Linked DNA regions of Arabidopsis thaliana. Each later gene encodes a partner of the first gene's protein in a complex. Each region holds a gene or a part of one and is shown on either strand. Other genes may lie near its edges.

Region 1 (7,206 bases):
TGATTGTGAGCTTGCGTTGACTTAAATCATGTCATATATTTTGGTTTCTCACGGTTTTATTTATTGTGCCAAGTGATGCAGTTGCTGCTAGTTACGGTGGATTGATGTTTGGATGGACGCAGAAATTTTGATGTGGGTTTAGTCTAAAAGGTGAAGAACAATGCTCGGGAATCAATCCGCGGATTTTAGTGAGAAGGGGGAAGATGAGATCGTCAGACAGCTTTGTGCTAATGGGATTTGCATGAAAACAACTGAAGTTGAAGCAAAGCTTGATGAAGGAAATATTCAAGAAGCTGAATCTTCTTTGAGAGAAGGATTATCTCTCAATTTCGAGGTTTGTTTTTGTGGTTTTCCAAACTCCATTAAACCAACTTTTATAAGTAAATGATTAGATTTTATTTGTTTTTGTGGTTACAGGAAGCAAGAGCACTTCTTGGAAGATTGGAATACCAAAGAGGGAATTTAGAAGGCGCACTTCGTGTCTTTGAAGGTATCGACCTTCAAGCAGCTATCCAGCGGTTACAGGTTTCCGTGCCTCTTGAGAAACCGGCTACTAAGAAAAACCGTCCCCGTGAACCGCAGCAATCAGTTTCTCAGCATGCTGCTAACTTGGTCCTTGAAGCTATCTACTTGAAAGCCAAATCCCTTCAAAAGCTTGGGAGAATAACTGGTATCATTCCCTTTCACCTTTGAAAATGTGAATCTGAGGCATTGATCTTGGTACAGTCTTTAAATCTAAATCTTCCCTTGCTGGGTTTTGGTCTTGTAGAGGCTGCTCATGAATGCAAGAGTGTTCTTGATTCTGTTGAGAAGATATTTCAGCAAGGGATACCAGATGCTCAAGTGGATAACAAACTTCAAGAAACCGTTAGCCACGCCGTTGAACTACTTCCTGCGCTATGGAAAGAATCTGGTGATTATCAAGAAGCCATATCTGCTTATAGACGCGCGCTTTTAAGCCAATGGAATCTTGATAATGATTGTTGTGCAAGGATTCAAAAAGATTTTGCAGTCTTTCTTTTACATTCTGGAGTCGAAGCGAGTCCACCGAGTTTAGGTTCTCAGATAGAGGGATCGTACATACCTAGAAACAACATAGAAGAAGCCATTCTTCTTCTAATGATTCTTTTAAAGAAGTTTAACCTCGGGAAAGCGAAATGGGATCCGTCTGTGTTTGAGCACCTTACCTTTGCGTTATCTTTATGTAGTCAGACCGCGGTTCTCGCCAAGCAGCTTGAAGAAGTAATGCCTGGTGTGTTTAGCCGTATTGAGCGTTGGAACACTTTGGCTCTTTCTTATAGTGCAGCAGGTCAAAACAGTGCTGCAGTTAACCTTCTTAGAAAGTCTCTGCATAAACACGAACAACCCGATGATCTTGTGGCGCTTTTGTTAGCTGCTAAGCTTTGCAGTGAAGAGCCTTCTTTAGCTGCTGAAGGTACGGGTTATGCGCAGAGAGCGATAAACAATGCTCAAGGTATGGATGAGCATTTGAAAGGCGTTGGTTTGAGGATGTTAGGACTTTGTTTAGGGAAACAAGCGAAGGTTCCGACATCGGATTTTGAAAGATCTCGGCTGCAATCAGAATCATTGAAAGCATTAGATGGAGCTATAGCTTTTGAGCACAATAATCCTGATTTGATCTTTGAGTTAGGTGTTCAATACGCTGAGCAACGGAACTTAAAAGCTGCTTCCCGTTACGCCAAAGAGTTCATCGATGCAACGGGAGGGTCAGTGTTAAAAGGATGGAGATTTCTCGCGCTTGTTTTGTCAGCTCAACAACGGTTTTCAGAAGCAGAAGTTGTGACTGATGCTGCTTTAGATGAAACTGCAAAGTGGGATCAGGGACCTCTCTTGAGACTCAAAGCAAAGCTGAAAATCTCTCAGTCAAATCCAACAGAAGCCGTTGAGACTTATCGTTACCTTCTTGCATTGGTTCAAGCGCAAAGGAAATCTTTCGGACCTCTCAGAACTCTTTCTCAGGTTTCAAAATCTCTTTTGTTCTCTAATCTATTGAGATCATCAATCAAAACCTTTTTTTTTTTTTATTGAAGAACTTGTACAATAACACAGATGGAGGAAGACAAAGTGAATGAGTTTGAAGTGTGGCATGGCTTGGCTTATCTTTACTCAAGCCTTTCGCATTGGAACGACGTAGAAGTCTGTCTGAAAAAAGCCGGAGAGCTGAAACAATACTCTGCTTCAATGTTGCATACAGAAGGCAAGAACAAGAAGCCATTTAACTAATCTCTTAGAATCATCCATTACTTGATTTACTCAAATTTGGTTTGAATCTTTGGGAATGATCAGGTCGAATGTGGGAAGGACGAAAGGAGTTCAAACCCGCGCTAGCAGCTTTCTTGGACGGTTTATTACTAGACGGATCATCGGTTCCTTGCAAAGTAGCGGTTGGAGCGTTATTGTCCGAAAGAGGGAAAGATCATCAGCCAACTCTCCCCGTGGCTAGAAGTTTGCTCTCTGATGCATTGAGGATCGATCCAACAAACCGAAAAGCTTGGTATTACTTAGGAATGGTTCATAAATCTGATGGACGTATAGCTGATGCTACTGATTGCTTCCAAGCTGCTTCTATGCTTGAAGAGTCTGATCCTATTGAAAGCTTCTCAACCATTCTTTAAAAATCCATCATAAAGATTTATATTCATATGTTCATTTTTTGTCTGTCATCTCATGTACAATTTTAAACCTTCTTAATTTCTTCAAACTAAATATATATTACATTGTTCGTTAGTTCTTTATGTTTAGAACTTTAGATGCTGAATTTTGGATACGCTTTCGAGTTTTGTAATCGCAGTTGAATCACAATTCAAGAACATTAGCATAGAAATACTTCCGACTTATACAAAAACTCCAATTCTAAGAAAGAAACTGTGATTTAGCAATTCGATACAAATTTTCAAGGAATGGATAAACACAAGTCAACATTACAAAACAAAACAGAGTCTCTTCTCTACTAGTTCTTGGGAATGTTAACTCCGACGATTTTAGCGGGAGTAATACGAAGAAGATTCCCAGGCTTACCAGGCAAAGCACCTTTGATCATGACAACATTAAGCTCCTTATCAACTTTAACAATCTTAAGCTTCCTAATCTTTGTCCTCGTCCCTCCCATTCTTCCAGGCATCTTCTTCCCTTTATAAACTCTTCCCGGAGTAGTACCAGCACCAATCGAACCCAAAGCTCGATGACTCTTGGAACCATGAGTCATCTGACCTCTCTTGAAATGATGCCTTTTGATTCCTCCTTGAAACCCTTTACCAATTGTGGTTCCAGCTACATCAACGAGATCACCTTCTTTGAATATCTCATCGAACACAAGCTTCTGGTTCGGTTCGAATCCTTCGATGTTTGTTAATCTGAACTCTTGGAGATGTCTCATTGGGATTGTACCGGCTTTTTGGAGATGACCGGTTTCCGGTTTAGTTAGCTTTTTGTCGCGTACACGACGGTAACCGATTTGAACCGCGTCGTAACCGTCTGTGGCTAGGGTTTTGATTTGGGTTACGATGTTACCTTCGCGGAATCCGACGACTGTTACTGGAACTACTGTGCCGTCTTCTTCGAAGAAACTCATCATCCCGAGTTTTGACCCCATTACTCCGATTCCAGCTTCCATGGATGATGAAACCACGAATCTGGTTTTTGGTGATGATTTGATGAGAAGTGAAGAGGATTTCGCCGGGAGGAAAGTGGGAGTGAAGAGTGAAGAGGATAAGGTTGTTTTGTTGAGCAGAGATGGGAAAGAAACAACCGCCATAGCTATCGCCATTGTCGGAGATTCACAGAGGAGAAGAAACTCTGAGAGAGGATAAAGCTCTGTGCCACACTCTTATCTTCTTCTCCAGTTATGAAATTTATTATTATACCGCTGAAGATACTCATATTTACAAAACACGGTGGTTTACCTTTTGCAACATCGGTCCTTTAAATCTGATTTTATTCATTTTGTATTTTTTCTTCTTATTGTATTCAATTTAACCTCTTTCAAGATTGGTGTTTATATTAGTTAGCACAAGTGAGAAAAGAAAATAGTACTTGAATTCTTAAAGATGATTATCATATATAAATAATATCACAAGGATATAATGTTCCAATTTATTGAATTAAAAACACTGAGAAAATAAGACTGGGAATGTTTTAAACGATCCGACACGAGAATAATTTTAGTTTCATATTAAGACAATCATCACTTGAGGTTCCTTCTAGTAAACGATAACTGATGGAGTTTAGAGACGAGATATAAGAAGAGGTACAGAGGCAGGTCCTTCCTCGCCCATCACAGGCTGGAACAGATCCAACTCACCATACCGCTCCAGAACTCGCATCCTACAATCTTCAGCTGCCATCAATCCAGTTGAATAAGCGCCGTGAACCGAGCCCGGGAAGCTCGAGCTCGTCGCTTCACCGGCAAAGAATAAGTTATCCACTGGAACCCTAAGCCTCTCGTAGAGATCATGAGGTTTGCCCACGATATCATAGCTATAAGATCCCATTGAATTCACATCAGATCCCCACCTCGACACGAGATACTGTACCGGAGGCAATGCATCGGGAAGAATTCTCTGGAGTTGCAAGACGGCGAAATTTGCAGCTGCTTCATCAGACATTTTCTCAATGTCTTTGGCAAGCTGACCAGCCGGCATGTAAACCAGAACCGGATGACCCGTGGCCTTGTGCAGGTTCAAAAAATAACTGCAACCGTAGGAGGTTTCAGCTACCACTCCTAGAAACTCTACTTTCGGCCAAAAGACTTTCTCAAAATGTAGTATGATCTTGTTCTCAATACCTACTCCTAGGTCGTTGATTGCTTCTTGTTTCCACTCAGGTAGCTTAGGTTCGAACTTTATGGTTCCCGATTTTAAAACTCCAAGAGGGACAGCAATGACTGCAGCATCCGCAACAAAAGTTTGCCCGTTTTCTGTCGTTACCTTCACTCCATTGTACCGCCTGACAATCTTAGTAACCCTGAGAGAAGGAGAAACACGAGGTTATGACTGTGAAACACTAAACGAATGCCATAACTCTTGAAAAACGCAAAAGCTTACCTGTGGCCTACTCGGATATCAAGACCTTTCGCCAGAGTATTGATGACAGGACGATACCCTCTAACCATAAGACCGTGTCCACCAGGCAACAATTCCTCCTGCACATTTCTCGGAGTGTTAAACCAAAAATTCAAGAAGCAGTCTATACAAAAAAAACTCTTAACTACGAGAGAAAGAATGTAACTAACCTGGTCCCAACACTTTGCAGAGATGGTTTCAGCATCTGCGGCAAACCATCCTTCCATGCGGCATACATACCATTGAAGTACGTTGTGTGCAAGCCCCTCTAACCTGGATGTGAAAATTCAAAATTCAACCATGAAACCAAGCTTGCAAAAGTGCATTGCCTAAAGAAATTGAGAAAATGAGACATTATGTATACAAACCTCAGCTCGGGTTTCCTAGAAAAGACAATTGAGAAAGCCTGAGAAATTGAAATGTCAGCATCCTGCTCATCCCTGACTTTATTGATCTGTGTTTGCAATAGACGAATCTAGTTAGCATGAGCATCAATCAAAGACTTGCAACATCAAGAAATACGAGAATAGGAATAAAGAAGAAATCTAAATGAATGTGAAGGACATACCTCTTCCAAAATACGCTCAAACGTTACGCCAATCTGAGTTACCAATTCTTGAGGAACTTGGTTGCCATCCATATCAAACAGAGCATAGCTACAGAAACAAAAGAATTGCACTGTGAGTTTTAAGGTGTCAAACAAGAATAAAAAGATGGAGGTAACAAAATCGAAATATTCAAGCAAACCTCTCGAGATCATGATCATACAGGACGGAATTGTCACCGCTAGTACGATACAAGGGCAGTCCAAGTCTTCCAATAACTGGTGCGAGAGGATTCTCCTTGCATACTCCATGCAGCCTGTGACATAACGATGTTGCTGTGTTAGCCTAAAGTTAACCAAAAACCAAAACCAAAACATCATCTAATGACAGGATGAAAGAGCCGTGAGATTACCATGATGCACCAAGATCAACAGGAAAACCAAATGAGTAATCAGTGTGAACTCGTCCACCAATTCTGTCACGGGACTCCAGTACCATAACCTAAACACCAAGAACCACACCGTGAGAAAGAGATATCAAAATCAGCTATCAGGATATATTGTATAAAACATGAAACATCACAAACCTGAAAGGAAGCATCCTGAAGAGTGCGAGCAGCTGAAATCCCACCGAAACCACCTCCGATCACAATCACGGAGGGCGACCTTGTCTTCATCCTCTCACCAGCTGAAAAGCAATTAGCTATATGAAAACAAAGCACACGAATTAACGACCGTCCAAAGTCCAATAAAGTATCAATTCTTCTAACAAAGAAACAATAGTGATTATCAGAATTAAACAACCCCACAAAAACAAAACTTGTGGCAATCAGCAGATACATCCAAACAAGTAAACGCCACGAAGGAATCAAATCACCGACAGAGAATTCAGCACGAGGGATAAAATTGAGGACCCATTAAAAAAAAAATCAAATTTTGTTTGATAAACCAAATTACCCAGATTATAATCTAGAGTAAGAACCCTAGATCCTTCCTATACATCAACGATAACAATCCGTAAGCGATTTCACAAAAAAGTAACAGACTTTTCGATGGAGGTTGAAGAAAACAGTACCTCTACGCATTTGACGATCAGAGTTTTTCCTGGACTCCATGATTTTTTTTTCAATTGATCAAACGATTACTCTCGAGATTATTGGAATTACGATTACTATTATTATTATTATTATTACTATTAAGCTGGGGAGAGAAATGAAGAATAAAGATGAGAAGACAAGTCGTGAAGTGGCTCGAAATCGAAGATGAAAAAATCAGGCTTCCAAACAAATTCATGCGATTTTCTTCAGGATTTTTAAACCCCCTCTCTGTTTTTGGTTTTTGTTCACCCTGTTTACTCAGCCGGACAGTATCAACGCAGATCTACGACGATCGGCGATATCTGATTCGTAATTCAAGCGAGCAATGGGGGCCAAAGGATCAAAATTCCCAGAAAAGCCAGAAACGAGGAAGAAGAGCTAGAGAGAGAGAGAGAAAGATGAAAACAGAGAGACTTCTAGAGAGAGAAAACAAAAAAAGGTCGGATTTTTTAGGCTTTGGGTCGGTAAAGTAGGTTAGGTTGTA
Region 2 (7,577 bases), on another chromosome or scaffold:
AAACAAAAAGTTTATGTGAAAAAACGTATTTTTTCCCACAAACAGATAATTAGTCCGGTGTGTTTTGTATATAGAAAGTGGAAGAAAAAAATAGTATAGAAAAATGTAATAATTGGTTTTGACTCACTGTAGCTGAGTTATGCGTGAAGACAAAAATCACCGAGAAACCACAGAAACAAATAGAAAAAATAGTTAAATATATAAAACAAATATAAAATAACTGCGTCAAAGGTCTCATTTAAGTTGTCGTGATTCTTCTTCCTTCGTCTACTTGAAGATGATGAAACCTGAGTTTCTGAGACAGAAGGAAGAGCTTTTAACATCCCTTCTGTTTATGGTCGGATTCCAACTCCGGACTTCTTGGCTTTAACCCTTTACGTCCGATCTTGTCGCTGAAATCTTTCTTTCTCCTTTTACATGGTTTTCACGACGACAAAAGTTTGCCTTTTTCTAGTTGCTGCCTTGACTTCAGATAGCATCACAAGGTTCGGCTTCAGATAACATCACAAGGTTTGATTGACTTTGCTCTGTTCTAATCTAATCTTGTTAATATCTTAAAAGCCTAAAACTTTTCTCTTATTGATTGTTTTGGTTAATTTTGTTTCCCCTTTTTTTTGTTGTATTTACTCGATTGATTACTTCAATATGATTTTCTGGTTTGCTTGGAATTTAAGCTGGAAGGAACTGATTCGAATATTTCTTGCATAAGAAGATGTTTCAATCTACCTATCTATTGACTTCATGATTGGCTTTTGCTTTTATTGTTGATATCTCTTACTATCTTGATTTCACCTTTCGTTACCATTTGCGTACAAAAATTTAACAAAGCAATGAATGGGAATTTCTTATTTTTTGTATAGTCGTTTTAACTGCTAAACTATGTTAAGTTGGTCCACACAATTAGGTGCTGAAAATAAAGTGACATCCTAATAAGTGGAAACTTGACTTATGGAGCTTTTCGTCTGCTTAACATTAATTTTTATCATCTTATCTATTTGACACCTTCCAAACACTATTGGGGAAATGGCTTCTTCTCTTTTTTCCGGTGTAGGTTTAAGGTTTTAGATTTGAAGGCGGATGGTGAGGAGTTTGTGTTGATGAAATGGGTGATTTGAAGTTAAATCCTTTAAGTTCTTTTAGCCTTAAGTTCTTTTAGCCTGTCATTACAATATATGTTTCAGTTGTGATCTTTTGGTGCTCTCCAAGGTCTTAGGGAATCTCCGTGTCCCCTCTGGTTTCTTTCTTTGTATAAAGTCTCTGGAATTTAAAGATGATTTTGTCCTGTTTTCTTCGAAGAATTTGGCGAAGAAACATCAAAAGTTCACTATTTGCTTTACGTGTTATGCTTGTTTGACTTTGTGTGATCTAACTTTTGGTTGAAAACTAATGCTCATCTTTTGTTCTTTGGAATGTCTTGATCTGCTTGATTTTGAATGCTTTGTCACATTGTTTAAACAATTTGTTCTTTGTTTTCAGTTGAGGAAAACATGAATTCGACATCGACACATTTTGTGCCACCGAGAAGAGTTGGTATATACGAACCTGTCCATCAATTCGGTATGTGGGGGGAGAGTTTCAAAAGCAATATTAGCAATGGGACTATGAACACACCAAACCACATAATAATACCGAATAATCAGAAACTAGACAACAACGTGGTACTTTTTTACTTCATTGCTCTTCAACCTCCTGATGATAAATTTGTTTGGTCTGTTTTCAGAAATTTAAACTAGCTTTCATTTCTTGACAATCTTTTTTTTTTTTTTATAGTCAGAGGATACTTCCCATGGAACAGCAGGAACTCCTCACATGTTCGATCAAGAAGCTTCAACGTCTAGACATCCCGATAAGGTTAGCTATTCAAATACTTCTCTATCAGTTTCTTAATCATAAATTTCTACGCATCATATAGACTAAATCGTTATATCGTTACAGATACAAAGACGGCTTGCTCAAAACCGCGAGGCTGCTAGGAAAAGTCGCTTGCGCAAGAAGGTATGACTTCATTTTCTTCCCCTTGGTAAACTGTTTCTGTTTGCCTAATGAGTTGAGAGATTTGATTGTTTTTTTTTTTTGCAGGCTTATGTTCAGCAACTGGAAACAAGCAGGTTGAAGCTAATTCAATTAGAGCAAGAACTCGATCGTGCTAGACAACAGGTTAATGAAATGAAATCTAAATATATATTCGCTTTCTTTCGAGTTCCAAAATATAATGCAATTTCTGATTGAATATGAATGTTTTCAGGGATTCTATGTAGGAAACGGAATAGATACTAATTCTCTCGGTTTTTCGGAAACCATGAATCCAGGTTTTGAATCAAGAACAATGAGTCTTTTGGAAAAAATATAGAATTCAAGATTTTGATTGGTGGAAGCTTATTTGATTTGCAGGGATTGCTGCATTTGAAATGGAATATGGACATTGGGTTGAAGAACAGAACAGACAGATATGTGAACTAAGAACAGTTTTACACGGACACATTAACGATATCGAGCTTCGTTCGCTAGTCGAAAACGCCATGAAACATTACTTTGAGCTTTTCCGGATGAAATCGTCTGCTGCCAAAGCCGATGTCTTCTTCGTCATGTCAGGGATGTGGAGAACTTCAGCAGAACGATTCTTCTTATGGATTGGCGGATTTCGACCCTCCGATCTTCTCAAGGTATAAAACAAATAACAATCTAGCGTAATGTTTAATGAATAGAAGGAAACAAGCAAGATTACAATGTTTCAAATGTTTTTTTTTGTAGGTTCTTTTGCCACATTTTGATGTCTTGACGGATCAACAACTTCTAGATGTATGCAATCTAAAACAATCGTGTCAGCAAGCAGAAGACGCGTTGACTCAAGGTATGGAGAAGCTGCAACACACCCTTGCGGACTGCGTTGCAGCGGGACAACTCGGTGAAGGAAGTTACATTCCTCAGGTGAATTCTGCTATGGATAGATTAGAAGCTTTGGTCAGTTTCGTAAATCAGGTAAAATATATATATTCAAACTCATTTGAAAATACTATAGTATCAGTTTCTTGATTTTGTTTGTTCATTCTTAGGCTGATCACTTGAGACATGAAACATTGCAACAAATGTATCGGATATTGACAACGCGACAAGCGGCTCGAGGATTATTAGCTCTTGGTGAGTATTTTCAACGGCTTAGAGCCTTGAGCTCAAGTTGGGCAACTCGACATCGTGAACCAACGTAGGTTTGAGTTATTTTGTAACAACCAAATGAAGAAAATGGAAAGACCTCAAAAAATGAAGAATGAGTGCATCTGAAAACAGAGGACTACTCTGAATAAATAGAGGGGTTGCTGCTGATATTTATTTTTACTCTGCGGCGGAATTAGAAAATTTGAAAAACATCATGTATTGATAAGTTGTAAATATCAGAAAAAGGTGGGGGTGCAAAAATTTGTACTTTTTAGCTTTTGAAAGAGGCAAGTTTTTCGAATGTTTGTTTGATTTGTAAACAATTTCAGAATTATATAAACTTGGTTCCAAATCCCCTGTAATAATGTCGAGCTATCTGCAATTTGAAAACTATAGGGGCTTTACTTAATTTTACGTTTTGTGTGACACCTATTTGATTTTTTTTGATACGTTTGGACCAGTTTCGTAATTAGAGGTAAATAAAGGGGCAAATAGTAAGATATAAGAAAAGCCTTATCTCATAGAGTTTCTTCTCTTCATTATCCTCAAAATCGCTCGAGAGTGAGAACTCTGCTCTTCTTCTTCTTCCTCCGCCATAGCTACAATGCTTAGTCTCTCAATCGCTACGCCGGGGACGGCGGCGATTTTTCGTAGAGGAACTGCTTCGGCGACTTCAACTTCGTCTTCATTCCATGGTGTCAGAATCCAGCACCAGGTTTCTGCTCGCGTCCCCGCGGCGGCGACGATATCGTCGTCGTCTCCTAAACCGTCGGTGGTGATGATGTCGAAAAGAGAGGCGGAATTGAAAGAGATAAGATCGAAGACGACGGAGCAGTTACAAGAGGAGGTTGTTGACCTTAAAGGTGAGCTCTTTATGCTTCGTCTCCAGAAATCGGCAAGGAATGAGTTCAAATCTAGCGACTTTCGTCGTATGAAGAAACAAGTAAGCTTTTTTCTTACTCTTTAATGCAGAATTATTCCAAATTGTGAAATCTACTTTGTGTTATCTGGTCGATTTTGGCAGTCTTTGAAAGGGTTTAACAAAATTGGGATATGTGGTTTATTGATGGAAACATTGAAATCATCACCATGGAAAATAGGATTATTTAATATGAAGTTGTAGAAGATGTTAGCGAACTCTATAAGCAATGTTTTGTGTTGTTTGTTCTACACATTATAGTTGATTCTAAACTCTAACAATGGCAACATTGTAAGTTACTGTTTTGTGATATCTAATACTGTTTTTGGTAGGTGGTGGAATGGAATTAGAGATTTAATATTGAGTTCAATCCATCCCCTTTTATAGATTCTTGCACACAAGCTTCGAATATGTTCTTAGGATACTACGGTTTCAGTTAGACATGAATGTTGAGCTTTGCGATATCGTTTGTTTAGTCTTTTAAGTGTGCCAATGCACCAAACTAGCTTTAGATGAGAATTTACTTGCTTTGGTTTTACTGATTGCTGGGATTTCAATCAGACATGAATCTTGAGCTCTAAGTGACTAATCCACCCAACTTAGCTGGAGATGACACTAAATTCAAGTAGAGATTTCTTGGTTTTTTTGGCTTACGTCCGTCTCTTTTCTGGTACTGAAGATGTGATCTTTTGGTTGTGGGTGATTTAGGTTGCTCGGATGTTGACGGTTAAAAGAGAGAGGGAGATCAAAGAAGGGATAAAGAAAAGGTTGTCGAGGAAACTTGACAGACAATGGAAGAAAAGCATAGTACCAAGACCACCTCCGTCTCTGAAGAAACTTCAAGAAGAAGAAGCTGCAGAAGAAGCAGCTGAAGCTGCTAAATCTGCTTGAAAAAACCCGCTATTGATTTATGGTCTCTTCCTTGTTGTTTCCTCGAGATGTTGTTAATCTCTGTTATTTGTTGCTGAACCATCTTGTATTTGTTTTTCTTTTGGTGTAAACACTTTCCTTATCAAGTAGTTTACATGAATCCCTTAAAGATTGAAATCGTTCCTTCATGTTTCATCAGAATTATCATCCAATCTGACAAAGAAACTAGTAATCATTCGAAGTTCGAAAAACATCAAATAAGAATAAAGATAAATAAATAAAAGGAAAAATCCAAAACATTGGCGGGAAAATTAGGAATTTATTGAGGAATCAATGGTGGGCTTAGAAATAGAATGGTGCGTTAAAGTTTCTGTCTTTGTGTGCGTAGATGAGGTATTCGGTGGTAGATTCCGGCTGGGTTTGGATTTTTTTTCCGGCGAGTCTATGAGGTAAAGTGATATTTCTTACAGATTTTAAGGATTCAACTAATACGATTATGTTTCCGATGATGTTTCTTGTTTGGGCATGAAACCCTAGATTTCAGCGATTCACTTTCAAAATAAAATCCGTTTATGCAATCGAATGTAGTAGAAAAATCTCATCTTGGTAAATCTCATTGAGACTTCATTGTTAGTTTTTTTTGTTAGTCAACCAACAATGGGTTTGGTTTTTGTTTTACTATTTTTGTCCTTTTCTTATTAGTATATTGAAGATCTGGCCAATAATTTTTCTGACTCAGTGGTGTTGAAATCTTCTTTCAGAAGTGGGGACTAGTGATAAAATAATCTCAAATTAGTAGTTTCTTCTCTTTGTTTTTTCTTTTCTTAAAAGTTTGAATACGACTGATATAAACATAGTTCAATAAGAAGTCATGTTTCGTTTACTAGTAGTTTGCTATCGAGGCTGCTATATATGAGTTCTTGACAGGTATGTAGTCATTTCTGGAAGCCAACAAACCTGTGAGATACTGAGATGGTTGTTAATTTAATGTTTTTGATTTGAGATCGATGCTCTTGTTAACTAGCAGTAGTAGATTTTCACATGTTGATTTCTCATTACCATTGTAGTTGGATAACAAAACTGTTGATATAGCAATGATCGGACCACGATGATTCACCTAATACCTTATATTACAATTAAGTCAAAAGATCTATCTGCCCACAACTATTTTAAATGACTAATGGTCAAAACTGTGTTTTTTTTTTAGTGCAAAGTTTATCTGAAGTTGAGTTTGACAGCTGCATTGTGCTGTTCACATACATCAGTTTACACTTATCCTGCATTTTAAACTGACCAAAAGTCGTCAACTTTTCAGCGTAGATTTGTGAGCTATGCGGTGTTATGTTAAGTACAAGAGACTTGAGACAAAAATTGCATATCTAAAGGTGATTTATGAGATTTGCATATGAATAGCTTTGTATGTTTTATTTGTAACTATTTTTCTGAAGACCTGTCTTACCAACTCCAGTCATGTGCTTTGCACAGCTTTCTATGATGCTTTTGACACGATTATTTTATTATGTAAGTGTCTTACGTATAGTGTTCATGCAAAGATCTTTGGTACTTCTGGATCACAACATGTGACTTGCTTTTCATGCAAAAAGCTTCCTCCATGTTTGTCTTGGTCTTCTGCTTTCGTGAAAAGTCCATACTCTTTAGCCTGTTTTACTTCAACTACTATTTCCTTAAAAGCAACAAATGTTATTTATGCAGGTATTTTGGATTTTCTTTTTGTCTTCTTCTTGATGCCTGTGAAGGTAAAGATGAACAAGACCGACTCTCTTAACTTCCAGAGGTTTGTTGATGCTTCTGCCCAATCTTTTTTGTTCATTTACTATCCACTAGTTTCAGGCTTTGATTCATTTCATGAAGCAATTGTGATTCTAACATGATTTCAAGCTTTTAAAATTCTCCTCTTGATTAAGGAAAGCAGAACTTTTAGACTTTTTGTATCTTGTCACCTTAAATGGTCCTTTTCTTTTAACTTTGTTTTCTAGCTTACACTAACTGTCCCCTTTTTCTAGATGGTGATGCATATACATATGTACAATCTCTTAAGCTTGATAAAACATATAGATAGTTATTCTCTATGAGCATTTCGACTGACTAGTGCTATCATTATAAAAATGCAGTTTGCTTGGCTTAGACCAATATGTTTAAGGTGGATTGTCCAAGTCCTTTAGAAAGCCTTCAGTAAGAACGGTAATAGGCCTTTTTTTGCTTGTGTTCACTTCTTATATCAAAGTCAGACCAATGTGTTGATATAAGCACTACTTGCATGATTGCATCATTCTCATTTGGATTGAATCTGAAGATTATTTTGGTTGGTTCTTACCTCCTTGTGCCTTTTCAGCTTCTTGGATCTTCTATGGAGATGTCCTTGTTCGGCTTTATGGATTGGTTTTAAGAAATCTCAGGTTAGATAATGCAAAGGTACAACAATTCAATACATGTTTTTCAGTAGCATCATTCTTTCCTAGTTCCTACCATTGGAGTGAAGTCAATACAGATTGTTTGATTATTAAGTTAAAAAGTGCCTTCAAACACCTTAATCTTGTAAATACAATTGTCTTTACTTGCATGTGGAATATATCAATCTCATCAATTCTGGCTTGCCTATATCAATAGGTGCTAT
Region 3 (7,552 bases), on another chromosome or scaffold:
TGAAGAAAAAAGAGAGTAAAATCATTCAAACGTATCACTTTTTGGAAATCGGTTGTCCGAAGATAAAAGAATCATAGTCTTAAATTATAAAAAAAGGAAAAATCCACACAAAAAGTTAAAGCCAATAAATACATATATTCCATCCATTTGAAATTAAGTTGTTTCTTAAAACATTAAAATTTTCCACACAAATATATCGTGGCTTTCATATTGACTATTGTATAATTCCGAACATTCACAATTTTTTTTTGACTATTGTAATTTTATATTATATTATATTATTTTTAAATAGGGACAAATGAGATATTTCTTTATAAAAGTCATATTGAATCATATATATATATTTTTTTCTTTTTCATAAAACGATACTTAGTTTCAATAAAACATTTGTCTAAAACACACTTAATTTAAAACTGATAAGAATATTATTTCTTAACATTCAATCGGACTATTTTTCCTTTGGAACATTTTTTAAAAATTCCATTTTGGGGTTTATTTTGTATATTCAGGATATATAAATTTTCTATAAGTAATTTTAGTTATACGGGTTATACCCAACTGGACTAATTTTGAATTTCTTTTAAATTCGATTTATGTTCATTATATATTTTCACCCAATAGGAGTTTTTTTTTTCTTTCTTTTCGGTGTTGTACTACTAGTCCACTGATTTAATTTTCTTATGAAATAGTGTGAAAGTTAGACTTACAAATTTGTTCTCAGCCCAATCATGATAATAGCTCTATAAAAGCCCATGTCCATGTCCACATAAATCCTAAAAAACATATAATGACTAGAGTAACTACATACATAGCTGATAGCTCTATTATGATTAAACCGGTTTGAACTCTGTTTACACATAACCTGCCATACCAACTGTTGAACCGGATCGGTTTGTTATGTTAGCCGATATTGAAGAGATAGATTGTAGTTGTACAATTACAAATTTACAATCCAAACAAATAAATAAAATCTAATCTTTTGAATTGAAGATATAGATAAAATACATTTACACACACTTTGCTTTAAATTAACAATAAATTTAACTAACATGTTTTCAAATTTTTTTTTTTGTATAAAGTAACATTAGTTTATAATAATTAAATACAAGTTTAATAAAAAAAAATTCTAATTTCATTTTTTTATCGGCTTTCTAATTTCATTTTTGTTTCCTTAAATACATTTATACACCGAATAAAATTATTTATTAGTTTCCTAAATTATTTATATATCTCTGAAGAAAAAAGAAAAGTAAAGTAAAGTAGCCGCCTCATCCTCCTCGTCTCTTCTCGTTAGCTCTCTCAATGAGGAGCCCGATTTAGGGTTTCCTCCATTGGTTATATCAATTCGATCATCTCCACAAAGCTCTCGAAGACTCTTTCGGTGATCTCATCTTCTTCTTCTTGTACGAATCTCTCACTCTCTCTTCATTTCGCGTTATAGGGGTTTCTCCAACATTTGCGTTTACGATTCTCACTTTTTCTGCTTCTATGAATACATTTTGATCTGGGTTTTTCGTTGATTGAAGTATTAGCTGATCCGATTTGACAAAGTTTGAAACTTTCGTTGCTTAGGTTAATCTCTTGACTAGACTTTTTATCTTGCTTCTGTTTCTCAATCCGATTAGGCGATGAACTCAGGTTTTGTGCGATTGCAATTTGTATATATGACTATTGAAGCTTATCATATAGATCTCTTGCTAATCTTGGTTTTTAAGAACTGTATTCCTCTTTCAGGCTTGTTACTAGCATTTACAAATTTTCAGTTTGATGTTGCTTATGAGAAGGTTACTTATTGCAGGTTTAGCCTCCTGGAGGTTACTTTGTTTGTTACTAGTTCCAAAACATGCCGAAAGAGAGGAAAGAACGGTCCGTATCTCTTGATAAGTATAAACGATCGCCACTGTGTTGTGAGGCAAGCCTTGCTTTGAAGCCGAGTGAGAAACAAGTTAAGGAATGGGAAGAGGCTCGTTGTCCTGTTTGTATGGAACATCCTCACAATGGGATTCTTCTCATTTGTTCTTCTTATGAAAATGGTTGTCGACCTTACATGTGCGACACTAGCCATCGGCATTCTAACTGTTTCGATCAGTTCCGCAAAGCTTCTAAAGAGAAACCTTCTTTGTCTTTACTTCGTGAGGAAGAGGAAAGTAATGAACCAACTGAGATGGAAGATGTGGATTCAGACTCAACTGCTGTAAATCTATTAGGAGAAGCTGCATCTGAGATAACAGTTGTGGATTTAAGTGATGGTGAGAGAGGAGAAGAAGAAGTAGAAGAAGAAGAAGAAGAAGTAGTAGTAGAAGAAGAAGAAGAAGGAATTGTAACAACAGAAGAAGATCAAGAAAAAAACAAACCACAAAAGCTTACTTGTCCGTTATGTCGTGGACATATAAAAGAATGGGTAGTTGTTAAAGCAGCTCGATGTTTCATGAACTCAAAACATAGAAGCTGTTCTTGTGAGACTTGTGATTTCAGTGGAAGCTATTCCGATCTGAGAAAGCACGCAAGGCTTCTACATCCAGGAGTTAGGCCATCAGAAGCAGATCCAGAGAGACAGAGAAGCTGGAGGAGGCTAGAAAGGCAGAGCGATTTAGGGGATTTACTTAGCACACTCCAATCTTCTTTTGGAGGAGATGAAATAAGTAACGATGATGGGTTTCTATTTGCTGATACTCGCTTGCTTACAGTGTACTTTCTCATCCGCGTGTTTAGACCAGAATCGAGTGGCTCAAGGAGTAGTAGCTGGTCTGGTACATCTAGAGCTAGGACACATACAAGTGGGAGAAGAAGATCTTCAAGACCTGCAAGTCTTTGGGGAGAGAGCTATGAAGGTAATACAGGAACATCACCTAGAGATGAGGAGAATAATCAATCTTCTGATGAACAAGTGTCTGGAACTCGGAGACGTCGTTCTAGAAGAAGAACTGTCATTGATGATGATGATGAAGAAGAAGAACCGTGATGCTCTGCAGTTTGGAAATTTGGTCTTTGGAGTTTATGATAAAATGGGGGAAACCTTGTAGTAATAACCCCACTTATGAAACCCTATTATGTAAAATTTCTTTGGAGATTGAAAAAAGTTTCTACTATTGGGAAACAAAATGTTCAATATTTCATTACCGTTTAAATATCTTTTTGATAATGACTCTTCAAACAACAAAATGTAAATCTCTTCACCATACAAAAAGACAAAGGAATTGTAATTAACATTTGTCATAGACAATTATCTTCTCTGCAGCTTTACAACACTAAAAAGAGCTTGAAACTGAAGTAATTTAAGCAGAGGCTGCTGGCTCTGAAGTTGCTGCTTCTGCTGCTGCAGCTCTCTTCTTGGCAAAGTATTCATCTGCTCGTGCTTGGTTCTTTGCAACAGATGGCTTAACCCATTTCTTTCTTCCCGGCAACACAGTGAGTGTACAACCTGAAGCTTCAAGCTTCTCTTTTGCTTGTGTTGAGAAGGCACGAGCTTTGAAGGTGAGCTTCATGCTTAGTTCTCCTGTACCCAGAATCTGAAATCCAAGACCAATCAAAACGTTTAAATAAAGAAAGAAAAGACGAAAGCACAATCGAAAGAAGTAGGATCAACAAGTTTGGAAAACTAACCTTAAGAGGGAGTTTCCTTTCTCTCCCTGAAGGATTAATCAAACCCTTTTGCTTCAATGTCTCCAATGACACTTCATCTCCCTCTTGAAACCCAGCTGTTTCTATGTCTTTGATATTAACCGGTAAGTATTTAGGTAATCCTGAACGCATACCTGTTTAAAGAACACAGTAACGCAACGATGCATCAGAAATATATCTCTATTGGTTTGAGCTAATTAGCAAAATCGAACCATGAAATATCTCTATTCACTAACTACAATCTTGATCCATAGTTGTCAATTCATGGCTCTCTTACCCAATATTAAATCTATGAAACAAATGTGCCCTAACTAAATAAAACTGAAAGCAGCATCACCAAATTTAAACAGAGCCTTTTGGATGAGACATTTCATCGAACATTTGGGCTACACAAAACTTGGATACCAAACAAAAACAAAACTTTACCTCCAGCGATTCCTCTAAGTTTGGGAAGACGACGATAAAGAGCAGTTTGACCACCTTCAAAGCCTCTCATAATCCCAGGACCCGATCTTGATTTCTGACCTCTCATACCAAAACCACAACTTGCTCCTTGTCCTGCAGAGATACCTCTACCTTTTCTCTTCTGCTTCTTCCTCGAACCTGGCTGTGGTCCAAGATTATCCAAACGGAATCTCTCCGGAGCTACAACTGCCGACGACGTAGCCGCCGTTTGGCTAACCACAACAAGGGGTCTCGCAAATTGCTGTTGGTTTCTCGTTTTAAGGGTTTGGTTGAGTTTCAGAGATAGAATCTGACTTGGGTTTGCCCCCAAAACACTTACATTTCCCTGTACACATTTCAAATTCCAATTTTACGGATTCATTCAAAATTGACATTTGTAGAAGAATGAGAGATTACCTTGAATGAAGTAGAAGATAAGTGGAGACGGTAACAATGGCGGGAGGTGAGAGGATTTGATGAGATTGAGAGTGGAGTAGCCATGGTCACAGGGAACAACAGATGAAACAAAGCTTCAAGGATAAGGTTGAGGAAGATAGATAGAGAGAGATAACTTTCTTGAGAAACTTAAGAGTTAAACGACATCGTCTTACATAATCACTTAATTGTTTATTGGGCCTTTCACAGCAAATTTAGGCCTTTTCGTTTTCAATAAAAGAGTCGTTACTCGTTCGTATCAATTCGTTTGTGTCCAAAGTGGGTTTTCAGATAAGCTCATGTCTGAATTAGTCGGGATGATCAAGACACCAGTGCCAATAAAAGAAACGATAAGAAATTATAGTATTTATACTAACTTGATATATATAAACACAAATATTTATACACATAACACAATTATAAGTTCAAACTACAACCCCAAATCAACACCTGAAACTACAACCCCAAATCATTACACAATCTCAATTAACCACATAGAAAATTATATATATTGGTGAATTTTGTAACTTCCTTAATCTTTAATCTTTGCGAAGTCTTTTCTTCACGACAAGAAGAGAACAATCTGTATTTTGTGTACACCTGCATTTAATTAAAAGATGTTTGTTATCTCAACTTTTCCATCAATACTAAGTTTTTTAACTGATATTTTGAAATTAAAAGATGTTTCTTACTTTTTGAGACTTTGTTGATCGCTCGTAACTATTAAATTGATATTTCGTTCTTGAATTATCTTGCGGATTAGATCTTTAGGGTCTCCATCATCAGTAAATGTCTCTGCCTTGATCTGTTTTCAACATGATTATGATGAGATCATGAGACTAAAATATTGCAACAAATGGTTGTCATGAAAAGAACTTCATTTTTTTCTTTTAAAACTTTGGTATTTAAAAATATATATATGATATTGTATTAATAACAAGTTAAATGATTCAGTCAATAGATTATTACCCCATGATTTAAACATATCTTCTTGGCTTTCTCTAATATACCCAAAGCAATTTTCATATTCTTTTCTTGAGCCAATCTTATGAGTTCTGAATCTGCAAAACACACATAAAAACTGATCAATTTTCAACAAAAGAAAGTACTAGGTGAAAATGGATAGAAAATTTGATATTTATTGAAAACTCCCAACAAATTAGTCGATAAAATGACTTACTAGGTGAAAATGGATAGAAAATTTGAGCAAAGCCGACTGATGAAGAAAGTACGGTAGGAGGAGTAAAGGAATTTTGTGGCTGTTTTGCAAAGATATAAACTTTGGAGCTCTCAATGGTATCTTTTTGGTTTTCAAGTGCCCAAATGAGTAAATCATAACTTGCGTTGCTCTCGTCAATAATCAGCATAACATTCTTCATCTTCTCTCTTTGTTTCTTCTTCTCCTTTCTTCTTCTAGCTTCTGCTAAAACCTCTTGTCAATGTGCAACTTTATAGTATATTTGGAAGTGGATTAACTTGTCAAAGGAAGTAATATAAAAAAAAATCTTAGGTGATTGGGTAATTGAAAGGCATGGGTTAACGACTTGATTCTGGCTTCTTCTCGTTTGCAAAATAAAATAAAATTATACACACAAGTAATACTATATTAAACCCGTGTGTAGTGGCAAAGTAGGTTTGGATTAGAACCAAAAGCGTAAAATCGCTATAACTTCAAGTTCAATCCCACAATATGCAATCATTTAAAGAAATTACATAACGATTTATAGTGATTTAATCTCCATGTTATATCACTTGATCATTTAGATTTCGGTTCAGATTCTGCTTAACTTGTGATGAGTTTGCGGAAAACGTTTTACTGAAATTTTCAAAAGACTAGTCATATGCTTATTCAAATTAGGATAGAGACAATGCTAAGTCTAACAAAAAAACATTTGTATATCAAAAAAGAAAACAATCGAATAATATGATCTCATTCTACAACATATTACCAATTCTCCATTGAAATATTCCATTAATAAAATGGTGTGAGTGGACCGGTGTTTGGTAACTGCCGGATACACGCCATTGATGACATAAAACATTATTCTCTTTGTCGGAATTTTTAATCATAATTAAATATCATTAGAGAGAGTTGGTAAAAGAAAAGACATAATTAGCTAAACGGGCTAAAATGAAAAGTTAATGGGCCAAACAGACATATATCCAGCCCATTATAATCTCTGCATCTCCTACCTCTGAATCCCAAAAACCCTAGCGATTTTTTTCTTCTCTCCCGAGACGCTCTGTGATAGCGAAAGCATCTGTTGTAATCTAAGGTACTCGATGATTCTCCTTTTCCATTTTAGTTCTCATTTGAAGTATATAGAACTGTAAAAATTTGTTAAAGTTATAATTTTGGGTTTTAACGGAATTTAAAGTCTCGAACTTTCGATTCTGAGTATGATTTTGATGCTCATAGTACTACTCTTGAAATTTTAGATGATGTTAATGGAGATATTTAGCTTAAAGATGCTTACTTTACTCATCTGTTGAGCATAGGATCGTCTTAATCTTTTTACTCATTACTTGTAAATTTCTTCAAGCAATTGAGACATGTAGAGATGAGTTATGTTTTTTTCTTTTTTGGTGTCATTGTGTTAAAGGTTCTGTAATGGAGAAATCTAGAGAAAGCGAGTTCTTGTTCTGTAATTTGTGTGGGACTATGCTTGTCTTGAAATCAACCAAGTATGCAGAATGTCCACATTGCAAAACAACACGGAATGCAAAAGGTTTTGATGAATCTTTCTTGATATCATCAAATCAAAACAAAGTTTTTGTTTCTTGGTTGGTTTAATCTTATTGCTGTGCTTTTATCGTTCAGATATCATCGACAAGGAAATAGCTTACACAGTTTCTGCTGAGGTATGCATCATACATTTTGTTTCGGTTTCATGGAGTAGCAAAAATCTCTCTGCTCTTGATTTGTGTTGTTAGTCAATTGTTATTAGGCTTATGAATACACACACACAGTAGAAAACCAGTTCTGTGCTATGTGATTACTTTCAGACCTGAAAAATGGATGACTGTTTTGTTATTCTTGCAAGAATATTTC
Region 4 (8,361 bases), on another chromosome or scaffold:
GTAAATGCAAAAGCTCCTGCAGCAGAAGAAAAAGAAGCTTATTAATACAGTAATCAATCTCCATTGTATTAAGAATATCTGCATTTTGTGATCTCATTCAGAAACGCGTATGTGTAGAGGAAGTTTTTTTCATGTAATCAAACATTGATTGTTGTTAATGACTTGAAATGCATAATAAAAACTTCAAAGAGAGACTGATTGTAAAACTCAAGTTGAATTCACCAATTAGTCCCTAACAAGCTATATATTCTTGATTCGTGATAGATTTGATCAGATAGAAAGAGGAATTTGGAACTTACCAAAGGCGAATTCTTCATCAAAGTGGAACTGGCGGCGGAAGAAGCTGAACTTGGAAGGGAAGCTTCGAGAAAAGGTGAATTGGAGGCATGACTGACCGGAGAGAATTCTCGGGAGAAGAAGATACGGCGAGGATGATGCGCGCGTAGGCGCGTGAAGGATAGACCGTTGTATAAAAAAATTCCAACACTTAACCTTTTGCAGTTAGAAAAATAAGACCGTTGTAATCATGATCAATTTCCTTTTTTATTATAAGTCCAAATTTGAAAAAAGGAAAATAATAATCTGATGTTTCCTTTTTTTTGTTGCGTGAACCTCTCTCTTATAAATAGTATTCATCTTTTCTTCTTTCCTTAAGAAATCATTACTCCTTCTTCTAAACCCTAAAAAAATATTTTCTTTCTCTGCGACTGTTTTACAAATACGATCGCTGATATCTCGTGACCGTGAAATTGATGATCCGGATACATCGCTGAACGGTACCAACGGCGTTGCCGCGTTGGTCCAACGCCATGTCGAGAGATGTCTCTCGTGTATGATCAATTTTTGACGATCACGGGCTAATTATACAGGAAGATTACTTTGAGTTCTAGAAACGAGTCTGACGTGACGCAAAATCTGGATGCATCTATTTCGGGCAAAGAGAATCGCGAGTGAACGTGACGACGAGATCTGGGGTTTCGGTGGTTCAGAGTTTCAGACCTGAAAAGCGAGATCTTCTTCATCATCAAAAATTGCAGTTTCCGCCCAAGTCAAAGACGAAGAGATGGGCTTCAGATTACAACGAATGGGCTTTAGTAAACAACAATCCATGAGTCATGCCGAGAGAGTCATAATTAGTCCACCATGAGTCAGGTTCGTTGATTCTTAATTTCCTTTTCTTTTTTTTTTTTTTTAATAAAGATTTTGATTTATTTTATGTTTGTTATTTTAAAAGTTTTTATTTTTTTGGATGCTAAATTTATATAATGATACGAAAACTAACCGGATTTTAGATCCAGCATTAGTCGTTAGCGATTCCAAATATTCAACTTGTTTTCATATTATTATGTAGATTTAGCATTCAAGTTTTTCATTCGGATTTTTAAAGTACTTTTTAAAATTTAGATTTTGTTTATTCGGATTTTAAAAATCTTTTTTCATGTGTTTATTTTTTAAAATTATATTATTTAATGGATACTAAATTTATATAATGATATGAAATCTAACCGGATTTTGGATCCAGCAATAGTCGTTAGCGATTCCAAACATTCAACTTGTTTTTCCTATTATTATGTAGATTAAACATTCAAGGTTTTACTTCGCATTTTTTAAAATAGTTTTAATATTATTTTTTTGGATGCTAAATTTACATAATGATATGAATACTAACCGGATTTTGGATCCAACATTAGTCGTTAGCGATTCCAAACATTCAACTTGTTTTCATATTATTATGTAGATTTAACATTCAAGATTTTTATTTGGATTTTTAAAAATAGTTTTTAAAATTTTGATTTTGTTTATTGTCGGATTTTAAAAATCTTTTGTGTTTGTTTGTTTGTTTTTAAATTTATTTGGATGCAAAATTTACATAATGATATGAATACTAACCGGATTTTGGATCTAGCATTAGTCGTTAGCGATTCCAAACATTCAAATTGTATTTCCTATTATTATGTATATTTAACATTCAAATTTTGGATCCAGCATTAAAAATTTCAGTTTTAAGTAATGACTCGATTAAGGCATGAATATTAGATTTTCCTTGCATCTGTGATCTCATTGGGAAGGTTTGTTACCAATTGAAGAGGAAGTTTTTGTTAATGGTGACTACTGTTGCTTATGGCATTTGTATTCATTACATGTCATCTTTTTCATGTTGAAGAAGATATTCAGTAGCAAAAAAAAATAACGAGAAATATTTCAAATTAGAAAGTTTTGTAGCATAACAGAGTTGATAGAAGCGAAAACAAGAATCTGTAAAGCCTCCTCTGGTTTTGGGATGAAGAAACTACAGAAACCTGAGAAGAAAAAACTCTCTGCGCTTGGCGATAATGGAACAGTGGTGGAGCTTCTATTTTTGCAGCTGTATTCTCTTGTCCCTGATAGGCAGATCAAGCGGTTTCTGGGCCTCGTGAGGATGGTCAGGGCCTTTGTACACCTTCAGGTGATTGAACAGAGCTCTCCCAAGCTGCCACAAAATGGTCAGACCAAAGTTAAGAGGGAGTTGGAAAACTAGTAATCAATCAATACCAATATCGCAACAAGTAGTTTCCAAGTTCAATCCATAAGTTTGAAGAAACACGGATTTGCTAAGTGTTAAGACTTAAAGGAGACTAATAAAGAGCTGTGGATTATGTATCTAACCCGTCCCTTTGGAAGCATTCCACGAACAGCATGCTCAACGATTCTTTCAGGAATTCTCTGCTGCAATTGATCAAATGTCTCTACTGTCATACCACCAGGTCGTCCTGAATGCCTCCTGTACAGCTTTTGGTTACGCTTCTTTCCAGATACAGCAACTTTCTCAGCATTCACCTTTAACCAAACAATTGAAAACAGTATTAGAGGTACCAAGTTACAAGCATTGCCCAAACATCTACATAGAGGCTCTACATCTTGCTGCTAATGTGAATCTTACTAAAACCAAATCCCAAGGCTCCTCCTTCAGGAAGAAATTAACTAAAGCAGCACATCAAATTTCTTATTCTCTACAGATAGCTCAAAGAAACTCATACCACAATCACAAAAGCTCCCATGTCGACACTAGGAGTGTAAGAGGCAAGATTCTTCCCACGGATGTGATTAGCAATTGTCGATGCCAATCTACCAAGAATTTTGTCAGTTGCATCAACCACAAACCAGGGCTTGTCCGTGTTCACATGGTCTGAAGCTTTTGGATACCATGTCGTGTTCCAGATGTCCTGTAAACCATAGAATACACTCAATAAAGGTTTCAAGCCAAAGACTTTTAACTTCTCTCCAACCAAACATTAATAATTTCATAAAACGTCCAAGTTAACAAATTCAGAAGAATAAACATCAATTTTCGAAGCCAATTGATGCAGACAACACAGCTAATGAGTCAAAGGCAAAATCCACTACTTAATAAATCGCAATTGGGAGAAGAAAAAAACAAGCCATACTTCAAATTCAAAGCAAGAGCTAAAGTGCGACACTTTATAAATGCGTAGATGCTAAACACAGAGGGAGATAGAAAAATTATCGTTACAGGGCCATTAGCTTCTTCTTCGTCGAACATCCATCGTTGATTCGCCGGAACAAGAGAAGTCGTCGTCGTCGGCTCAGCTTCACACTTCACTTGCAATCCTCTTTTCGAATTCGCATAAATGCCGACTCGTACCGACGGCTTCGAGATAGCCGTTAAAGAGAACCCTAAAAACGGAGACTTTCTCTCACTTCCGGAGGATTTCACGGAAGAAGAAGAGAGTATCACCGTCGAAGACGAGCAAAGAACCGCCATTTTTGTTTTTCTCTCTTCTGCAAATTTCTTCTGCTCTTTCCGATTTCTCGGATAAGATTGGGTTCTCAGTAAATAGTAGTAGTGGCAACACCGTAAATAATCTGATGAATACGACCGAAAAATAAACACAACACGGGTTAAGGATCCGGGTTTTTTTCGGAGCTCCGGATTCAACCCGAAATACTGTTTTTTTTTTCTCAATAGGAGAGAAAGGTCTTCTTCGGAAGCAAGCTAAGTCATGGCAACGATTTCGTCAACTCTACTCTTAAATTCTTCTAGATCAGCTTTACCACTAAGATTCCCAAAATTCTCGGGATTTTCTTCTTCCTCTCCATTCGCTAGATCTTACAGATTTGGACGACGTAATCTGGAACCACTTTCCAACGGAATGCTTTCGTCGGGAAGTAGAGCCGACGGTGCTACGGCGGCGGCTGCATCGATGGAAGGAGTGATGACGGAGGCGATGAAACTGATTCAATCGGCGTCACCAACTTGGAAATCAGCTGTGGCTAACAATTTATTGATTTTTGTTCTCGGTTCACCGCTTCTTGTTACCGGATTGTCCGCTTCTGGGATCGCCGCCGCGTTTTTGCTTGGTACTTTAACTTGGAGAGCTTATGGCTCTGCTGGTTTCCTCTTAGTCGCTGCTTACTTCGTCATAGTAAGTGCATTTGTGATCAACCTGAATGTAATTCGGTAACTGACTCTTAGAACGTAGAAATTCGCTGCTTTGATTTTGATTTCGAGCTGATGAATGAAGAATGTCCTTAGATTTTAGATGTGTTATTGTTTAATTTAGGAATTGTGGACGTGTTAGAGATCCTAAATCACGTTTACAGATTAAGGAGCTACTTTTTCTGATCATGCTCAACATTGAGATACTTAGTCTTTTCTCTGCAATGCTTTAAGTTTTAGATTTCAATATCGTGTTTCACCCCAGAGCTGGAAATAGTAACAGTAAATTTGCAATTGATTCTGGCGCTGAAGTTGGTTTAGATGATTTACAATATCACAGGGAACAGCGGCAACGAAGGTTAAAATGACGCAAAAGGAAGCACAAGGTGTGGCCGAAAAGAGAAAGGGTAGAAGAGGACCACGCAGTGTGATTGGTTCAAGTGCTGCTGGTTGTGTCTGTGCTTTTCTTTCAATATATCAAGTGGGAGGAGCAGCTTTTTCCCAGCTTTTCCGGCTTGGTTTTGTTTCCAGTTTCTGCACTAAAGTATCTGACACTGTCTCGAGCGAGATAGGCAAAGCTTATGGAAAAACAACGTGAGTATGCTACTGTTATCCAGCTATAGCCTCTTCTGTTATGGTCTGTGTCTGTTTTCTGTCTGATGTATGGCATGGACTTGTGGTGTCATGACATGAATCCAATCGACAACTGAAATGATCTTACTAACCATTGCCAATTCGCAGGTATTTAGCTACGACATTTAAGATTGTACCAAGAGGAACAGAGGGAGCTATGAGTCTTGAAGGAACATTGGCTGGACTTTTAGCATCATTTTTTCTTGCATCTGTTGGCTGCTTCCTGGGTCAGGTAATAGTGTTATTTGCTACCAAAATTTCCCTTCACAGCTTCTTTATGCTACTAAAGACTGTTATCATTACACGATTTTTAAACTTCTTTTCCTTTTGATATCTTGAACACAGATAACTCCTCCAGAAGCAGCTGTATGTGTACTAGCTTCCCAGATTGCCAATCTTGGAGAGAGCATAATAGGTGCTTCTTTTCAAGACAAAGAAGGATTCAAATGGGTATGCTCACTTCAATGAACTCTCTTCTTTTTGTTTTATTGATCTCACTCTGTCTACTTGTTGTCAATGCAAGAAGATGATAATCAAATGAATATACCGTCACTTCTTGCAGAAAGACTGATAGATAACTGGCTTGAGTGGAAAACGATTTCCATTCAATACAGAATTTTGAAGTTTTCGTCTTATGAATCCATTCCTTGCAATTAGTTACCAACTAAACAAGAATGCAATGATCTCGACTGTATTCTGTCTCATGTTAGTCACTATTTTGCTATGTGTAGCTAAACAATGATGTAGTCAACGTGATCAACATAAGCTTGGGAAGCATTGTGGCGATTTTGATGCAACAGTTTATACTCCAGAACTGGGTCAAGTAAAACCTGCCACGAAGGTCATGTATTCTCAGTGAGGTTAGATTCTTTTTTTATATTGTTAAACACAGCCTTACGTATTCAGTGGTGTTATAAATTATACTCTGTTGTGTACAACTAGTAGTCCAACATCAATGAGGGGAAAAAACTTCTGGGACCATTGTCTAGCAATTATTGGATGATATTTATGTGAATTAAGTTTGCCTTTGCAATTGTCCCGTAGATAGAGAAACTTATAAAATTTCTTCTGCTTAGGGATCCATTCACGTGATTTCTTCTATTTCCTTCACATGAAGTCCAAATTCTATTGCGACATCATAAATTGAAGAACATGTAAAAAAAGTTATGTAGCAAATAGAGAAAGTAGTGATGAAAATGTAAGAAAAAAGTTTGAAGAAAAGGCAACAACAAAGTACCAAGAATTGGTTGAGAAAGAAGTCGTCGAAGAGTCGTGATTTTCTCGAATACATTCTTCTTTTTTGTCATTATTATGTCTTGTTCCTGTCATCTTTAGCAATATTCTCGACGTTGCATAAGATAGTGTTTCTGGTGGCCAATTTTAATTTAGAAGCCTCTAGAGAAAAATGCATCCATCGGCCTAGCTGTTAAACAAGACAGCGAGACTTAACAGGCTTGTTTACTTTTAGACTTATGAAACATGAAGAAAAATTATACAATGCGTTGCTTCTACGAACCTGTGGTCCGCAATAAGATACGACAATGGCCCATGGGCCGCAACATCTGTCTAACACACAGCTGACAAGTGTCAAAATTCACACGCGCTCCTCAAACGCGTGTATTTTACGACTGATTTTTACACCGCCGCAGCGCAAATCTCGCTTTTTCTTTCTTAAAGTCAAATGTCCGCCACGGCGCGCCTGAAGAAGACTCTTGCTTGCCCTTTTTCTTACTTTTTTTCAATGTTTTTTCACTTTTTTGGTTAAATTCTCTAACATGGGTTTACTACTGTCTCGATAATAGTAGTAAGTTTGTAACTTTCTTATTTCTGGAACTGATCTAGTTCTAAAATATGCTTAATTCTTTATTAAGTTCTAAAAGAACTACTTTAAAAATTAATAACCTATTATTAATTACGACAACATCTAACTAAGCCATTAAATACAATATTCATCGTTTTGCGTGAGTCCTTCATACATGTGACGAATGTCCCTTCCCCACAAAGGCACAAACCTAACCTAATAAACAATACCAAAAATGGAATAATTTGATTTTTTTTTGAAATACTATATGCTAGCGTAGAATCAAACAAAATATGTAAAACGATATCCTTAAAACAAAATGTATACTAAACAAATATTAGTTTGCCAAAGTTTGACGAAATAATAAAAACCTAAATGGTTCGCCGTGAGTAAGTTCCCATCTTCTTCTCGAACTTTGCCAAAGTTTGGTATTGAAAAAATAATAATATTAAGACACAGAGAGAGAGAGGGAGAAGAGGATCTCTGTGTGTCGTCCAAATTTCAAAGTGATGATGTTGTAGCTGTGTGGTAGCGATTGGCTTACACGCGTCATACTTTAATTAGATAATTTTATTTCCTTATTACTTACCCTCTCTTTTCTCACAAAGAGTCATCACCAGCTCTGATCAAATAAAAGCGTTTTCTCTTCTTCTTGCTTTCACAGTTACCCAAAAGTGTGATTAAATCTTTCTTTTTTTTGCTTTCCTTCTCTAATCGTTGGTGTGTACGCTAAACCTAGATTTCGCTGGATTGTTTGAGTAATGGCCGTTGATGCGGCTGACCGGCGAGAAGTTATCGTCAAAATCGACGGTGAAAACGGAAACAACAATGGAGTCTCCGGAGAGACTGTAGGAAAGATATGGAGAGACGGAAGCTACGATTTTTGGACTGATGGTGAAGGTAACCTCAACAAAGGTCATAATGCTGCGGCGGTTGATTCTGATAGATCCGCCGCCACGACGGGGGAGCAACAAAAAGATGAGGGTTTTGAGTTTCGTCGCGGCGAAGATCCTCCCACGAAGCTGATTGGTCAGTTTCTCCATAAACAGCAAGCTTCCGGTGAGATTTGTTTAGATATGGACTTAGGTATGGACGAGCTTCAATCTAGAGGTTTAACTCCGGTATCGGAATCTCCGAGAGTTTCTACAAAACGTGACCCCGTGGGAAGACGAGACAGTCGCAGTAATACCAACAATAACGATGATGGAGAAGTTGTCAAGTGTAGTGGTAATAATGCTCCGATTCAGAGAAGCTCTAGCACTTTACTTAAGATGAGAACTAGGTCACGTCTTTCGGATCCGCCAACGCCTCAGTTGCCGCCGCAAACGGCGGATATGAAGTCGGGTCGGATTCCGAAATCCGGGCAGATGAAATCAGGTTTTTTTGGAAAAAGCCCTAAGACTCAAGGTGAGGAAGAAGAAGATGATCCATTTGCAGCAGAGGATTTACCAGAAGAGTATAGGAAAGATAAACTTAGTCTATGGATTGT

What was found.
Region 2: AT2G43030 (region 1) and AT5G65220 share a complex: the UniProt entries of both Arabidopsis thaliana proteins name them as parts of the 50S ribosomal subunit.
Region 3: AT2G43030 (region 1) and RPL15 share a complex: the UniProt entries of both Arabidopsis thaliana proteins name them as parts of the 50S ribosomal subunit.
Region 4: AT2G43030 (region 1) and emb1473 share a complex: the UniProt entries of both Arabidopsis thaliana proteins name them as parts of the 50S ribosomal subunit.

Annotation. Positions count from the first base shown.
Region 1 is NC_003071.7:17,891,479-17,898,684, reverse strand, and holds AT2G43030 (Ribosomal protein L3 family protein), read right to left. Parts: upstream 3,890-7,206; 5' UTR 3,788-3,889; coding exon 2,972-3,787; 3' UTR 2,803-2,971; downstream 1-2,802. Other genes in the region: NPG1 (tetratricopeptide repeat (TPR)-containing protein), read left to right, coding at 161-334, 418-670, 770-1,980, 2,071-2,218, 2,308-2,636; PAO2 (polyamine oxidase 2), read right to left, coding at 4,245-4,983, 5,064-5,161, 5,252-5,354, 5,450-5,535, 5,650-5,737, 5,829-5,942, 6,039-6,127, 6,213-6,328 and 1 more. UniProt on the Arabidopsis thaliana protein: One of the primary rRNA binding proteins, it binds directly near the 3'-end of the 23S rRNA, where it nucleates assembly of the 50S subunit.
Region 2 is NC_003076.8:26,057,544-26,065,120, forward strand, and holds AT5G65220 (Ribosomal L29 family protein), read left to right. Parts: upstream 1-3,621; 5' UTR 3,622-3,757; coding exon 3,758-4,096; intron 4,097-4,780; coding exon 4,781-4,963; 3' UTR 4,964-5,139; downstream 5,140-7,577. Other genes in the region: TGA1 (bZIP transcription factor family protein), read left to right, coding at 1,488-1,658, 1,771-1,851, 1,936-1,995, 2,080-2,157, 2,246-2,309, 2,392-2,663, 2,752-2,979, 3,054-3,206; AT5G65225 (uncharacterized protein), read left to right, coding at 5,387-5,391, 6,656-6,699, 7,257-7,359, 7,571-7,577.
Region 3 is NC_003074.8:9,487,993-9,495,544, forward strand, and holds RPL15 (ribosomal protein L15), read right to left. Parts: upstream 4,664-7,552; 5' UTR 4,567-4,663; coding exon 4,483-4,566; intron 4,412-4,482; coding exon 4,048-4,411; intron 3,756-4,047; coding exon 3,604-3,755; intron 3,510-3,603; coding exon 3,276-3,509; 3' UTR 3,063-3,275; downstream 1-3,062. Other genes in the region: AT3G25910 (MAP kinase kinase kinase, putative (DUF1644)), read left to right, coding at 1,844-2,962; AT3G25930 (Adenine nucleotide alpha hydrolases-like superfamily protein), read right to left, coding at 5,040-5,100, 5,193-5,305, 5,470-5,561, 5,681-5,879; AT3G25940 (TFIIB zinc-binding protein), read left to right, coding at 7,112-7,229, 7,322-7,362.
Region 4 is NC_003070.9:29,571,399-29,579,759, reverse strand, and holds emb1473 (Ribosomal protein L13 family protein), read right to left. Parts: upstream 3,955-8,361; 5' UTR 3,764-3,954; coding exon 3,512-3,763; intron 3,204-3,511; coding exon 3,018-3,203; intron 2,818-3,017; coding exon 2,647-2,817; intron 2,471-2,646; coding exon 2,354-2,470; 3' UTR 1,880-2,353; downstream 1-1,879. Other genes in the region: AT1G78635 (B3 domain protein), read left to right, coding at 1-45; AT1G78620 (integral membrane protein (Protein of unknown function DUF92, transmembrane)), read left to right, coding at 4,002-4,451, 4,779-5,032, 5,180-5,303, 5,417-5,521, 5,803-5,898; MSL6 (mechanosensitive channel of small conductance-like 6), read left to right, coding at 7,634-8,361.